Linked DNA regions of Macaca mulatta. The protein of the gene in region 1 purifies or fractionates together with the protein of each later gene. This does not show direct contact. Links are inferred from orthologs where the notes say so. Each region holds a gene or a part of one and is shown on either strand. Other genes may lie near its edges.

Region 1 (7,928 bases):
TGTCACCTGTTTGGGTGCGTGTGTGAGAGACTGACTCAATGGAGGGACAGGCCCCGGCATGTCTCTGGGGTGGGGAAGGTGGGAGGCTTGTTCTTCATGGGTTCAGCTGGGCTGGGATGCCAGGGGCCTGGAGGCAGCACATCTCTGCAGGTTGGGGGGCCACATGGAGAAAGGAGACCTGGGGCTGTTGAGGTCCTGCAGCCCCACATGCACAGTCCTCGGGCAACCAGTCCTGTGGGAGTTCAGGACAGGAGGGGCCGGCCTGAGGGTAAGGGCAGTGTCCACACAAGGCCCTTCAAGATGTGGGTGCCTCAAGTCTGCAAACGCGGCCCAGTGTCCTCAGCAGGGCATCTGCCCCGTGACCATGACGTGCAGCAGCTGAAACTTACGACCTGGGGGAGCCAAGCACCTGGGAGGACCACAGTGTGTCCTCAGCCACCGGGCACTGGCACACAGGCTTCCCGTGGCATTGTCAATGTGGGCCACATGTGACGGGGCCGCCGCACACACGGCTTGTGTTCAACACCCTGAGACATCTTGGCATCCCGACCTGCTCCTTTGTCATCTCGGAGGATGGGGGCGTGGGGGTCCGGACTCCGCAGAAGTGGGGCGGCATAGCCTAACCCAGGCCCCACGTTTCTCCCTCCCTTGTCTCACCCCCACCCCCTGGTGAGCACCACATCCCTCAATTTGCCCAGAGTGAGACATTTACAAAAATAATAAAAATAGGCCAGGCACGGTGGGTCACGCCTATAATCCCAGCATTTTGGGAGGCCGAGGCAGGCAGATGACCTGAGGTCAGGAGTTTGAGACCAGACTGACCAACATGATGAAACCCCATCTCTACTAAAAATACAAAAATTAGCTGGGCGTGGTGAGGGGTGTCTGTAATCCCAGCTATTCAGGAGGCTGAAGCAAGGAGAATCGCTTGAACCCAGGAGGCGGAGGTTGCGGTGAGCTGAGGTCCTGCCATTGCACTCCAGCCTGGGTGACAGAGTGAGACTCTATCTCAAAAAACAAAAACAAAAACAAAAATTAGCTGGGCGTGGTGGTGGGCATCTGTAATCCCAGCTACTCAAAAGGCTGAGGCAAGAGAATCACTTGAACCTGAGAGAAGGAGGTTGCAGTGAGCCCGGATCACACCATTGTACCCCAGCCTAGGCAACAAGAGAAATTGGATTGTCTCTGAAGGGGAATTGGGCTTCCAGGAGCTGGGCTGTCCTGTTGACCCTGGGGCTGGAGGGGATACTTAATCGTTGTCTAGGTAGCTCAGGGAGCCCCTCTGGTATCCAAGTCACCCTGTCTTCAGCTGTTCACCTGAGTCTTCTGCTTCTGAATCTCACTCTTCACTCCCTCCCTCGAGCCTCACTGTGCCCCTCGCACACCTCACCAGCTTGCCCACCAAGTAGTTGCCTTGGCTCAGAGCCATGCTTTGGATGGGTAAGGGGTTGGCAGTGCAGGCCTCCACAACCTGTCCTCACACCCAAGCCTGCCTGGATTTCCCGCCTCCTGCACCTTGGCCTGCACAGGTGTGCAGGCTTGGCCTAGTCCCACCCTCGGTGCCTTGGAGGCACCGAGGCCCAAATCTGCCCAGTCCTGGGGCCACGCCAGGTGGCAGCCTTTACTGGACCCAGGGACCTGTCAGTGCGTCATGGCACTCTCTCCCCAACAGACCTCTCTGGCGGAGTTTTGCCCAACGACTTGCTGTAATTACGATGGAAATTAACCCATCTATCTTCCACTCCTTCTGAGGCTCCTCAGTTGGACTCTGTGCACCCAGCCTCCTCTGGGACCTCTGGAAAACCAGTCACCGCACCTGAGTGCAGTGCTGGGTGTGCTGTGTAGCCGGGAGTCAGAGACCCAAGGCATGGCAGGCATTTGGTCCTCAAGGTCATGGGGGACAGCAAGGGTATTTTAGAGGCCTGGGTGCCCCATATCATAGAACTCTAGACATAATTTTGCAGTCGTTTTCTCTCTCTCTTCCTTTTTTTTGAGATGGAGTCTTACTCTGCCGCCCAGGCTGGAGTGCAGTGGTGCGATCTCGGCTCACTGCAAGCTCCGCCTCCCAGGTTCACACCATTCTCCTGCCTCAGCCTCCCGAGTGGCTGGGACTACAGGCACCCGCCACCATGCCCGGCTAATTTTTTGTATTTTTTGTAGAGACAGGGTTTCACCGTGTTAGCCACGATGGTCTCGATCTTCTGACCTCGTGATCCGCCCGCCTTGGCCTCCCAAAGTGTTGGGATTACAGGCGTGAGCCCAGGAAGAGTGCGCCTGGCCCTCTCTTCCTCTTTCTTTTCCTCCCTCCCTCCTTTCTTTTTTTTAAATAAAAATGGGGTATCAGGCCGGACGTGCTGGCTTATGCCTATAATACCAGCACTTTGGGAGGCCGAGGTAGGCGGATCACGAGGTCAGGAGTTTGAAACCAGCCTGGCCAGCATGGTGAAACCCCGTTTCTACTAAAAATGCAAAAATTAGCCGGGCATGCTGGCACATGCCTGTAGTCCCAGCTACTTGGAAGGCTGAGGCAGTAGAATCGCTTGAACTCAGGAGGAGGAGGTTGTGGTGAGCTGATATCGCACCATTGCACGCCAGCCTGGGCGACACAGCGAGACTCACACACACACACGCACACACACAAAAAGATGGGGGTCTCACTATGTTGCCCAGGCTGGTCTCGAACTGCTAGGCTCAAGCGATCCTCCTGACTGCACCTCCCAAGGCGCCTGGATTACAGTGCGGGCCAGTGCGCCCGGGCTACTTCTGCAGCTTAAGCGCAGGTTCACTGACTCTTCCGAGAATACAGCTGACATATACGTTGCTGAAACGGTACTTGTTCACTACGGAAAGCACATTCCCCTACCAGAACATTCCTTGGGGCCGAGTCCCCAAATGTGACCCACTGCGTTCTGTGGAGGAGGAGCGCACCTTATTCCGTCCCCACAGCCAAATACTCGTGAACTTATCGTCAGTCTTCTATCTGGACCCTACGTGCGTTTTTCACAGTTGCGCGTGTGAGCAGGTTGTGTGTGAATTTCAGGAGGAACTGGGGCGGCGGCACAGCTCGTCCACCTTGAGAGGCGCGGGCGGCACGCGGGCTGCAGTTCAGAAGAGCCCACCCAGGGCGCGCTGCGACCCCGGCCTCCCGTGTCCCCGCCTCCTGCGAGGAGGAACGGGGTCCCCATCAGGCACTCCCCGGGCAGGGCAGAGGGCTCCACGCGCGGGCCAACCCCGGCGTCCGGGAAGATAACTCCTCGGGTCGACGCCCTAGTTGTCGCCGCGTCCCCGCCCCAGCTCCTCCCACACTAGAACTTCGAGGATGTCGCGGGCGGACCGTACTTCCCAGCATGCCCCGCGCCCACCGCCGCCGTCGAGGGGCGGGGCCTACGTGTCGGCGGCGAGGGGCGGGGCCGCGGCGCAGCGCGGGAAGTCCAGATCCCGCGGCGACCCGAGCATGAGCGTGGATCGCGAGTTTCGCCGTGAGTCCCTCGGGGGCCCCTTGCGCCGGGGGCGCGGAGGCTAGGGAGGGTCTGGGACTCGGCCCCGGCCCCGAATCCCGCCGCGGAGGCTCAGCTCTCCTCTTCCTCCGACAGAGCTGAGCAAGGCGAAGGCCAAGGCGCAGAGGGCCGGGCAGCGGCGCGAGGAGGCAGCGCTGTGCCACCAGCTGGGGGAGCTCCTGGCCGGCCATGGTGAGCGCTGGGACCAGGAAGCGGGGTGCACGGCCGGGGGCTGGGGGCTGGGGGCTGGGGCCCGCGCCGGGGTCGGGGGCCGGGGGTCGACGGGCTCTTCCCGCAGACGCCGCCCCAGGTCCGCCCTCGCACCCGCGACGCCTGCCAGGCCGTGCTGTGTCCCCGCCTAGGCCGCTACGCCGAAGCCCTGGAGCAGCACTGGCAGGAGCTGCGGCTCCGGGAGAGCGCTGACGACCCCCTGGGCTGTGCCGTGGCCCATCGCAAGATCGGAGAGCGCCTGGCCGAGATGGAGGACTACCCGACTGCCTTGCAGGTGCGGGCGCCCTCACTGGCCTCGCCCAGCCCGGTCGGCCTCTGTTTGGAGCCCTTTTCTGAGGAGGGAGGCCCGGTCTTCACCGTCAGGAGCCTCGGGCTGGAAGGGACACCTGGCCTGACGCAGCCTTAACTTCACCGCGCCGGCCCAGTCCTCCAGTGGGGACCCCCCAGCCTTTCCTGGGACTGGGGCAGGAGTAGGTTTCCTGGCACCAGAAACCATTAATGAATGTTATTTTAGCTGTGTTTGTGTTGGGGGTGGTCAGGCCCCAGCCCGAAAGCTCTCCCTGACCCTGGCTGCTGGAGGCAGGACTGCAAACCCCCACCCCACCAATCCCCAGCCGCCCCTCCCCACGTGACAGCGTTGGCTGCATACAGCGTGAAGCCACTGTCACCACAGAGAGGCCTTGGCATGCAGAGGAGGGGCATGTGGCCGACCTTGGCCTGCTCTGTGGGGGTTAAGGGGAGCAGGAGTCTTTCCTTAGCAAGAACAGGGTCTCTGGGAATCTGGCAGCGCTGGTTTGCTTGAGGCGGGGTCAGCTCACAGCAGTGACTTCCTTCCACACTCAGCACCAGCACCACTACCTGGAGCTAGCACATTCCCTGCGCAACCACACGGAGCTGCAGAGGGCCTGGGCCACCATCGGCCGCACCCACCTGGACATCTATGACCACTGCCAGTCGAGGGATGCTCTGCTGCAGGCACAGGCTGCCTTTGAGAAGAGCTTGGCTATTGTGGATGAGGAGCTGGAGGGTGGGCAGGCCCCTTCTCGTTTTCTGCCTCCTGAACTGCAGGCTGAAGAGGCTGCAGCCCAGCACCCCCGCAGCCTCCTTGGGCGATCTCGTCTTCTGGGGCCCTCCCTTTGCAGGGCTCTTGTGTGAGGGGTGCATGCCCTCCGCAACCTTTTCCCTGGAGATCCTCGGCTCTTTATCCACTCTGTGCTCTGTCTGCAGCAGGACCCTTGCCCCAACATCGGGAGGAGGGAGAGGGTAGGAGAGGCACTGCACAGGCCCCAAATGGGGCCCAAAGCTGGAAACCCCATGTGGGGAGAAAGTGGCTGAGTGGGGGGCATCTTCCAGGGACACTGGCTCAGGGAGAGCTGAATGAGATGAGGACCCGCCTCTACCTCAACCTGGGTCTTACCTTTGAGAGCCTGCAGCAGACAGCCCTGTGCAACGATTACTTCAGGAAGAGCATCTTCCTTGCGGAGTAAGGCCCCACCCCACCCCAGGAGAGAGTGGAGTCCCTTGTTCCTGGAGGAAGTAGTTAGGGGAGTATTTCTCCCAGGGTCCTCCTGAGAGAGCACCCTGGCTGGGCCTCATCCCCCACCTCTCACACCTGTGCCTCACACTGGGCGAAGACCAGGCATGGTTAGGGCCCTGAGACCATAGCATGGCAGGGCTGGGGCCTGTGTGGCATCAGCAGCTATCACCGGTGGGACGCTCCTGGGTGCTCAGGAGCTCGTAGGTGCTCAGGCCATCACTCCTCTGCAGGCAGAACCACCTTTACGAGGACCTGTTCCGCGCCCGCTACAACCTGGGCACCGTCCACTGGCGCGCGGGCCAGCACTCCCAGGCTATGCGCTGCTTGGAGGGTGCCCGGGAGTGTGCGCACACCATGAGGAAGCGGTTCATGGAGAGCGAGTGCTGCGTGGCCATCGCACAGGTACCCGCTGTGTGTGGTTCCGAGCTCAGGCTCCTGGAGACTTGGGCCTTGGGGATTTTGCAAAAACCGTGCTGTCCTTTGCTCTCCAGGTCCTCCAAGACCTGGGAGACTTTCTGGCTGCCAAGCGAGCCCTGAAGAAGGCCTACAGGCTGGGCTCCCAGAAGCCTGTGCAGAGAGCAGCCGTCTGTCAGAACCTCCAGCATGGTGAGCCTGGGGCCGGGGTGGGGCCCAGGGGGTGTGGGGTGGGGGGGGGTGAGGGGGGTGAACCTCCCGCATGGTGAGCCTGGGGCCAGGGTGGGGCCCCGGGAGTTGTGTGCAGGGGCGAGCCCAGGGGGGCGTGGAGTCCTGCCAGGTGTGTACGGAGCTCCCTCCCTCACAGAGGAGGCATGAGCACCTGTCCTTGGAGGCAGCAGCTTCCGCAAGAGGGACAGGTGCCCTAGTTCCTGACAGGAGAAAACCCCCGTTTTTCTCTGAGCTCAACACAGTGTGTCAGGGGCACTGAAAGGGCGGCCAGGAGACCAGTTGGGCTTTTATTTTGCAGCCACCATCTTCACTGGCAAACTGGAGACAGTAGTTGCTCCCCTAGCTTCCCGGGTGGAACAGCAGGTGGCACGCATGTGGTCCAGGAGTGCTGATGGCCGAGACCACCACTGGAGGTTGGCAGCAGTCAGCCCTTGCTATGAGCCAGGCACCATCCAAGTTTTTTTTTTTTTTTTTTTTTGAGACGGAGTCTCGCTCTGTCGCCCAGGCTGGAGTGCGGTGGCACTATCTCGGTTCACTGCAAGCTCCGCCTCCCAGGTTCACGCCATTCTCCTGCCTCAGCCTCCCGAGTAGCTGGGACTACAGGCGCCCGCCACCATGCCCGGCTAATTTTTTTGTATTTTTAGTAGAGACGGGGTTTCACTGTATTAGCCAGGATGGTCTTGCTCTCCTGATCTCATGATCTGCCTGCCTCAGCCTCCCAAAGACCTAGGATTACAGGCGTGAGCCACTGTGCCTGGCCCCAAGTTTTTAAGTGTGTTAGTTCTTGTGACCCTTGAGACCAGTTCCCAAGATAGACCCTCCTGTTAACCCCCACATAAACAGGCAGGCAGAGGGAGAGGGTAGAGGGGCCACGACAGGGCTCAGCAGCAACAGCTGGAAGAGGCCGAGGAGCCTGTCCGTGAGGCCTGTTGGGGGATGTTCCAGGGAAGGCTGTGACTTCAGCTCTGAACTCAAGGGGGTTGTTAGAACCCCGAGTGGCCAGATGGTAGAGCTGGGGTCAGGGCCTCCTGTGTTGCCCTCCTGCATGAACCTCTTCTTGGCAGTGCTGGCAGTGGTCCGACTGCAGCAACAGCTGGAAGATGCCGAGGGAAGTGACCCTCAGGGCGCCATGGCCATCTGTGAGCAGCTAGGTGACCTCTTCTCCAAGGCAGGAGACTTTCCCAGGGCAGCTGAGGCTTACCAGAAGCAGGTGTGTGGCCCCGGCTGGGTGGGAGGGCCAGTGAGGTTGGCGAGGCCTGGCCAGGGTGGCAGCCCCCAGCCTCACTGGCACTGCCCCCAGCTACGTTTCGCTGAGCTGCTGGACAGACCGGGTGCCGAGCGGGCCATCATCCACGTGTCCCTGGCCGCCACACTGGGAGACATGAAGGACCACCGTGGGGCCGTGCGCCACTATGAGGAGGAGCTGAGGCTGCGCAGCGGCAATATGCTGGAGGTGAAACCCTGGCTCCCCACCCGAATGCAGGTTCACCCATGTCTCTGCCTCAGGACTGCCGTTCTCAGGGTGGCCATGTACAGACGTCCTTACTGGACAGGCAGCTCCTTCCTAGGACCGTCCACCCTCAGCACCTGGGAGGCTGGGCTCCCATTCTGTGTGGGCAGCCGGGGACGCTTGACTGGGGCCTGTTGGACACGGAGAGCAGCAGCCCTCGACCCCGTCCTTCCTCCTGCTCCAGGAGGCCAAGACCTGGCTGAATATCGCACTGTCCCGTGAAGAGGCTGGCGATGCCTACGAACTGCTGGCCCCATGCTTCCAGAAGGCGCTCAGCTGTGCCCAGCAGGCCCAGCGGCCCCAGCTGCAGGTACAAGAGCCCGTCCCACCCACACTGGCTCCCCAACAAGCCCAGCATCGTTGCAGCCTGCCTGCTCCTTGTCCCACATCCCCATCTTTCTCTGCATCCACAGCCCCCAGCTCTGCTTGCCACACCCCCAGTCCTGAGCCAAGCATCCCTCTGCTCCTCAGAGGCAGGTCTTGCAGCACCTCCATACCGTGCAGCTGA
Region 2 (7,784 bases), on another chromosome or scaffold:
GGGCTCATACAATCCTCCCATTTCAGCCTCCTCAGTAGCTGGGACCACAGGCACATGCAACCAAGTCCCATTAATTTTTTGATGTTTCTGTAGAGACAACGTTTTGCTATGTTACCCAGGCTGGCCTAAAACTCCTGGGCTCAAGAGAGCCTTCTTCCTTAGCCTCCCAAAGTGCTGGGATTACAGGAATGAGCCACCTCGCACAGCTGGATTGGGGGTTTTGTCAAGATTTTCAGTTGACACTGCTGAGAGTGAGCCAGATTCTCTTTTTCATGGAGAGGAGGCCAGAAAGAGGCAGAAAGCAAGCTGGCAGATCAGTCACAGAGAGCCCTAGGACTGGAAGAGCCAGGATTTCTCACTTGAGTTTCTTGAAGGAAAAGCTTTATCATCCGGGTGCAATTAACAATAGCATTCCCTGGCCGCGTGCTTGTGATTCAAAGTGTAATCCCAGCACTTTGGGAGGCTGAGGCGGGCAGATCACTTTCGGTCAGGTTTGAGATCAACCTGGCCAACATGGTGAAACCTCATCTCTACTAAAAATACAAAAATTAGCCGGGCATGGTGGCTCAAGCTTGTAATCCCAGCTACTTGGGAGACTGAGACCACAGAATCGCTTGAACTCAAGAGGTGGAGATTGCAGTGAGCTGAGATCGCGCCACTGTACTCTAGCCTGGGTGACAGAGTGAAACTCCATTTCAAAAAATAAATAAAATAAAATAATAATAATAATAATAGCATTCCCCTTTACTGTGTTTTGAGTATCCTGATTAGGCAATAAATTGTATGGTCATTCCTATCTATGCTCCACCTCTGAAATAGGGAATCCTTCTTCCTTTCTTTCCCTGGATCGGAGCAAAGATAAAGAACTTAGATTCAAAACTTCAGTGCCAATATTTCTACAAACTGGCTGGGTGACCCTGGATAAATCACTCCATTTCTATTAAAAGATGACCAGCAGAGGCTGGGCACGGTGGCTCATACCTGTAATCCCAGCATTTTGGGGGGCTGAGGCGGGCAGATCACCTGAGGTCAGGAGTTCGAGACCAGCCTGGCTAACATGGTGAAACCGCATCTCTACCAAAAACACAAAAATTAGCTGGGCGTCATAGCAGGCACCTGTAATCCCAGCTACTCGGGAGGCTGAGGCAGGAGAATTGCTTGAACCCGGGAGGCGGAGGTTGCGCCACTGCACTCCAGCCTGGGGGACGAGAGTGAGACTTCGTCTCCAAAAAAACAAAAAAAGGAGCAGCAGGTTGAATTTAGCCTTTCTGCCTCTAATTCTATAAATAAGTAAAGTCACAGGGCAGGGGCTTCCTAGGAGAAGTACCAGATAATGACCACACAACCATTTTTAAATGCAAGGAACACAAACAGGCTGATTGAAACCTGATCTCCTGCCGCCTGGGAGCTGGGAATCCCTCAACCTATTACTTCCTTCCATTTCCTCCTGGCTTTTAAATTAAATCTTATTCCACAGTGTCATTCTACACTTTATTTATTTATTTACACGCTGCCCTGTTCCAGAAAGGATTTAACTCGGCTTATTCTATAGTTAGCCACAAGTAGACTGCTTAATTTAAAAAGGAGCAAGACAGACCGGGGAGAGAGAGACCCACTGGCCTACCCGAAGCACATCCACATCTCACTCTATCAGCCCCAAGCTAGTCCAGGTGACCAGCTTTGAGGGCCAAACACCCACCTGCCCCCGAAAGGCACTAGTTAGCACATCCTGGCTTCACAGGCCCCCAGATCGCTACCTCCTCGGCTACTGCCTTTTCTCTTTTAACCACCAAGTAGAAAAATGGCCTAATGGAGTACTTCTTTCTGAAAGCAGGACTTGCATTTTAGTGGTGCCAAGGCTCCCTGGGTGACCTTAGATTTTGGATTTGTACAGGCCTTGACTTGAAAGGTCTTTTGCGCTTTGTGGCTCCTGTCTTCTCATCTGTGAGATGAGAGCCATGTCCACCTTTAAGTCACACAGATTAACAAGTACATCTGCAGAAGCACCTTGGAAAAGATGTACAGGAGGCTGTGACCTCCGGGCTCCAGGTGACTGTTTGAAGCTGGAGCCTGTCACAGCTCAGCCCAACCCACTCACCCTCCAGACTAGGTCAGACCATCAAAAGCAATGGAAGCTTGGCACTGATTATCCAGCTATATTAAAAAAAAAAAAGAAAAAAAAAAAAGACCGGGCGCGGTGGCTCACGCCTGTAATCCCAGCACTTTGGGAAACCAAGGTGGGTGGATCACTTGAGATCAGGACTTCGAGACCAGCCTGGCTAATGTGGTGAAACCCTGCCTCCAACTAAAAATACTAAAATTAACCGGGCATGGTGACAGGTGCTGGTAGTCCCAGCTACTCGGGAGGCTGAGGCAGGAGAATTGCTGAGATCGTGCCACTGCATTTCAGCCTGGGCAACAGAGCAAGAGTCTGTCTCAAAAAAAAAAAAAAAGAAAAAAGAAAAAAAAGAAGAAAGAAAAAGCGAGGGAAGAACTGCTGTAGTAACTCAGTTGGAAATGGGTGGGCAAACCTGGAGAAGCAGCTAATACCTGCCTGGCTATGCCAGCCCTCAGATCTCAGTGTGTTTATCCAAGTCCACAGAAGAGGGTGGGGAAGGGGAGCTGGGGAGACCAAGTTCCCCTCAAAGACGGTAGCATCCTTTCCCAGGGGGAGCTCAAGCATAGCAGGGGTTGGGCCCCAACGAAGGAGGAACCAGGTTCCAGGGTATGTGCAATGGCAGAAAAGCAACAGCAACTGGTGCGGGTGGGGTTGTTGAAATATTGGCAGGTTGGGGAGGGGATTGGTGGGAGACAAATGGGAAGATGGGGGCGAGGGCGGTCCTGAAAAGGGGTTGAGGGGTTTTCACAGCGAAAAACGGTTACTGGTGGGGAGCGTCTTCACGGTGAGGAGGGAAAGGAGCTTGCGTGAGAGATCTCCATAGGGAAAATAGCAGATGGCTAGGATTTCCCCCGGGGAAAATGGGAAGGGGCTGGACATTCGGAGTCTCCAGAGGGAAAATGGGAGGTGTGAGTATCTCACTAAAGAGGGAATAAGTGGGCAAAAATGGGTGGGTGGCTAAAGCGCGGGTCTTGCCACAGGGAAATCACGGTGGCTGAAGATCTCCGTGGCTTAAGAAATGGAGGCCAAGAAGATCTCTCCATGAAAACGGGTACCTAGGAAGACCTCCAGATTAAAAAGATGGATGAGGTTTCCCACGCGGGAAGTGGGGCTTGACTGGGGTTAATCTTTATGGGGAGGTCGGGGCGGGCAGTGGGGGAAGAGGTCACGGGGAGGTCCGAGTTAGCTAGCTGGGGGTCTCCACCCGGGAGGTCAAGGCGGGCAGTGGGAGAGGAGGTCACGGGGAGGTCCGAGTTGGCTGATGGCGGGGAGTCTCCACCCGGAGATCGGGATTGGCGGAAAGGGGACGAGGGGTTTCATGGGGGAGATCAAGTTGGCCATGGGAGCGCTTCTCCAAGGGGAGGCCGGGGTCGGCCCGGGGGTGGGGGTCCCCGCACGGGCCCAGCCTCACCGTCCGCCAGGGCTTCACTGCACTCGAAGCTGATCTCGAACCGGAAGGGGCTGTGGAAAGGGCTCGGGTTCTCCAGGACCGCCACGTTCAGCACCGACACCTTGGCCATCGCCTCGCCTCGCCTCGCCTCGCCGCGCCGCGCCGCGCCGCAGCAGGGGCAGGGGCAGGGGCAGGGCTGTGGCTGTGGCGGAGGCCGCGCCTGGGTCCGGTGAGTGGGGGGGCGTCAGTGGGGTACGGCAGACCAAGTCCACTCCCGCCTCTTCCCTCCGCGGACTGAAGTGCGCACCTAAACCGCGGACCGCCTTCAAATAGCCGGCCTCCGCCCTCTGGCCAATCACCGCCAACGCTCCCCTGGCGGCGCGCGCACCCCCTCAGCCAATCCTGGAGCGCCAGTCGGCGCGCGCCCAGACTCCCCGGACCAATCAGCGGAGCTCCCTCTCCGCGGCGTGTGAGGAGGGCGAAACCATCTCCAGGCTTCTTAGCGTGTCCGCTGGGAACCAATCCCCAGCGTCTCCGACTCGGATGTCAACGGCGGGAGTGGACGGAGTCAGAGCGCCGGACTCCTTCTGCCCAATCCTGAGGGTTCCCGCACCGGCGTAGCCCGCCCCTCGCCTCGCTTTTCCGGGAGCTGCATCCCGCACCGCGCAGCGCCGCCAACCGCCGAGCGGTGGCGCGCGGCGCTCGCTAAAGAAGGCGGGAAGGGCGGTGCTCGCACCCTCAGTGATTGGCAGGAGGGAGTGGGGCGGAGATAAAGAGGGTTTTCTGAGAGTTGATTGGCTGGATTGGTAATAGTGCCGGGAGCAGAATGAGGCTCAGCTGGGGATTCGCTGGAGAGAAGCGGAAGTCGAGCGCCGCCGCGGTGCTGGCGAGTGTGAAAAAAGAGGAGGAGGGTTGCGCCCTCAGCGTCTGTCAACAGGTGAGCGTAGTCTGGAGCTTTTCTGAGTGGCTCCTGACCCTTGAGGTCCAGCGGCCCTGGAGTCCGTTGTGAACGTTGCGAACGTTCGGAGTGGCGGTCACGCGGCGCGCTGGGACCTCGGGAGTCCAGCCCGGTTCGGATCCCGCTTTCGCCCACGAGGGGTTCGAATCCCGCTCTCGCCCCCGAGGGGTTTGGATCCCGCTCTCGCCCCCTCAAGGGCTCTTGGAAGGTTTCAAGCAGACGGTACTGAAAATGGGAGTTTCAGTTCGGGGGCAGACCAGTGTTCGAGTCCGGGCTCTGCTACTCAGCTCCTGAGGCAGCGTCTCTCCATTCAACGGGGGCAGTGGCAATTCCCTGACATGATTCATGACCGCACAATACATCCGGAAACTTCTCTCCGCCGCATCCCGTCGCCCCCGGCCTGGGAGACTCCAGGTCGCAGAGTCTCTGCCCCCACGGGCGATCAGCTCTACCCAGTGGAAAAATAATGCCAGCCGCGCACCTAATTTTACATTTTTTGGAAACCACTTTTTTTTTCTTTGAGACGGAATCTCGCTCTGTCACCCAGGCTGGAGTGCAATAGCGCGATCTCGGCTCACTGCAACCTCCACCTCCCGGGTTCAAGCGATTCTCCTGCCTCAGCCTCCTGAGTATCTGGGATTACAGGTGACCACCACCACAACCAGCTAAATTTTTTTCTGTATTTTTAGTAGAGACCGGGTTTCACCTTGTTGGCCAGGCTGGTCTCAAACGCCTGATCTCAAGTGATCCGCCCGCCTTGATCTTCCAGAGTGCTGGGTTTACAGGCATGAGCCACTGTACCCAGCCATATCTTTTTTTTTTTAATTTAAGATTTACTTTTTTTTTTTTTTTTTTGAGACGGAGTCTCGCTCTGTCGCCCGGGCTGGAGTGCAGTGGCCGGATCTCAGCTCACTGCAAGTTCCGCCTCCCGGGTTTACGCCATTCTCCTGCCTCAGCCTCCCGAGTAGCTGGGACTACAGGCGCCCGCCCCTGCGCCCGGCTAATTTTTTCTATTTTTAGTAGAGACGGGGTTTCACCATGGTCTCGATCTCCTGACCTTGTGATCTGCCCACCTCGGCCTCCCAAAGTGCTGGGATTACAGGCGTGAGCCACCACGCCCGGCCTAGTTTTTTTTTTTTTGTATTTTTTAGTAGAGACGGGGTTTCACCGTGTTAGCCAGGATGGTCTCGATCTCCTGACCTCGTGATCCGCCCGTCTCAGCCTCCCAAAGTGCTGGGATTACAGGCTTGAGCCACCGCGCCCGGCCAAGATTTACTTTTTTTTAAAAAAATTAAATTTTAGAGGCTGGGCATGGAGGATTTCTTGAGGCCAGGAGTTCAAGATCAGCCTGGGCAACATAACAAGACCTCATATTTACAAAAATATAAAAGAATAAGCCAGGTGTGGTAGTGCATACCTGTAGTCTCTGCTACTCCTGAAGCTGAGGCAGGAGGATCTCTTGAGCCCAGGATGCTCCAGCCACTGCACTCCAGCCTGAGTGTCAGAGTGAGATCCTGTCTCTCAAAATTAAAATTAAATTTTAGGCCGGGCGCGGTGGCTCAAGCCTGTAATCCCAGCACTTTGGGAGGCCGAGACGGGCGGATCACGAGGTCAGGAGATCGAGACCATCCTGGCTAACATGGTGAAACCCCGTCTCTACTAAAATATACAAAAAACTAGCCGGGCGCGGTGGCGGGCGCCTGTAGTCCCAGCTACTCGGGAGGCTGAGGCAGGAGAATTGCGTGAACCCGGGAGGCGGAGCTTGCAGTGAGCTAAGATCCGGCCACTGCACTCCAGCCTGGGCGGCAGAGCAAGACTCCGTCTCAAAAAAAAAAAAAAAAAAAAAATTAAATTAAATTTTAGAAAAGAAAGTTCAGTTTAGGTGTCTTGATAGCCACAGTTGAGTGCTCCTGAACCCCTGTGACAAGTGGCTCCTGTATTACTGGACAGTGAAGGTCAAAAACACATTTGACCAGGTCACTTCTCAGGATGAGAGCATTGTCTTCGAAACTATGCTTTGTCTCCTCTTAACTACCTAGCTCCAATTTCAAACCAGCCTAAGTAACCCTCTTTTTGTTAAAAATCTGACAGGCCACTCCCAGTGCAAAGCTCTGCCCAGAACCTCTTCTTCTGGGCTCTTGGCTGGCTTATGCCTTCTCGTCATTCAAGTCTCTGTTCAAATGTCCTCTCCCCAGAGAGGGCTTTCTAAGGGTGCCCTGGACAGTGTTCAAAATCACAGGCCGTAAGCCTGAATAGCACTGATCAAAGGCACTAGTATTTCTTACCTAGTCACCTCTGGAAACAATCCAGTTCCTGTGGGATTTTTTTTTTTTTTTTTAAACAGAGCTCTGTTTCCCAGGCTGGAGTGAAGTGGCATGATCATGGCTCACTGTAACTTGGAACTCTTGGGCTCAAGTGATCCTCCCACCTCAGCCTCCCAAGTAGCTGGGATCACCAGTGCGTGCCACCATGCCTGATTTGTTTTACTTTTTTTTTTTTTTTTTTTTTTTTGAGAGGGAGTCTTGCTCTGTCACCCAGGCTGGAGTGCGGTGGTGCGATCTCGGCTCACTGCACCCTCCTGCTTCTGGCTTCAAGCGATTCTCCCACCTCAGCCTCCTGACTATATGGGACTACAGGCACACGCTACCTTGCCTGGCTAATTTTTGTATTTTTAGTGAAGATGGGGGTTTCACCATGTTGGCCAGGCTGGTCTCAAACTCCTAACCTCAGGTGATCCACTCGCCCCAGCCTCCCAAAGTGCTGGGATTACAGGCATGAGCCACCATGCCCTGCCTGTTTTACTTTTTAAATTTTTTGTAGAGACAGGGTCTCGCTGTTGCCCAAGCTGCTCTTGAAACTTCCGGCCTCAAGCAGTTCACCTATCTTGTCTTTAAATGCTGAGATTACAGCGCCTAGCCCATTTTTTTTGGTGTGTACATCTCACATTAAGAAAAAATTTTTTTAGCTGTTAAAAAAAATTGAAAGCTTTTTAATATTCTTTTGAAATTATTTGGCTTCAAGGAAGCTCACATTTATGATTCCTTTGATTTCTTGGCAATCGTTGCATACTTGGGGATATTTGTGATTTGAGAAAATCTAATTTCCAAATGTAATTCGATTGCTTATGAATACTAAATTTAATGATTAATGCAGTTGTCATGATGTCATATTTCTAGATGCTTATTTAAATATTTATTCATTCCAACTTTGTAGTTTTATCTTTGCATTGTGGAACTTTTTTCCCTTTATCCCTATCCCTGACCTTTTCATAGCCCCTGAGAAGCTCATGAGCCACCAGCATTATTTCCGTGGCGCTA

Evidence for each region.
Region 2: the proteins of TONSL (region 1) and ASF1B purify together in Homo sapiens (affinity purification with mass spectrometry; 5 studies listed by BioGRID and IntAct, counting the BioPlex papers as one, with this or other methods). This does not show direct contact. The link is inferred for Macaca mulatta from reciprocal best matches to the Homo sapiens genes TONSL and ASF1B.

What each region holds. Positions count from the first base shown.
Region 1 is NC_133413.1:154,862,913-154,870,840, reverse strand, and holds the start of TONSL (tonsoku-like protein), read left to right. Parts: upstream 1-3,337; 5' UTR 3,338-3,454; coding exon 3,455-3,479; intron 3,480-3,593; coding exon 3,594-3,689; intron 3,690-3,859; coding exon 3,860-4,002; intron 4,003-4,571; coding exon 4,572-4,755; intron 4,756-5,081; coding exon 5,082-5,211; intron 5,212-5,495; coding exon 5,496-5,667; intron 5,668-5,756; coding exon 5,757-5,871; intron 5,872-6,974; coding exon 6,975-7,120; intron 7,121-7,210; coding exon 7,211-7,363; intron 7,364-7,604; coding exon 7,605-7,730; intron 7,731-7,891; coding exon 7,892-7,928. UniProt on the Homo sapiens protein: Component of the MMS22L-TONSL complex, a complex that promotes homologous recombination-mediated repair of double-strand breaks (DSBs) at stalled or collapsed replication forks.
Region 2 is NC_133424.1:14,720,428-14,728,211, forward strand, and holds the start of ASF1B (histone chaperone ASF1B), read right to left. Parts: upstream 4,253-7,784; 5' UTR 3,640-4,252; coding exon 3,531-3,639; exon of another isoform or gene 3,431-3,530; intron 2,188-3,430; exon of another isoform or gene 1,193-2,187; intron 1-1,192. UniProt on the Homo sapiens protein: Histone chaperone that facilitates histone deposition and histone exchange and removal during nucleosome assembly and disassembly. Cooperates with chromatin assembly factor 1 (CAF-1) to promote replication-dependent chromatin assembly.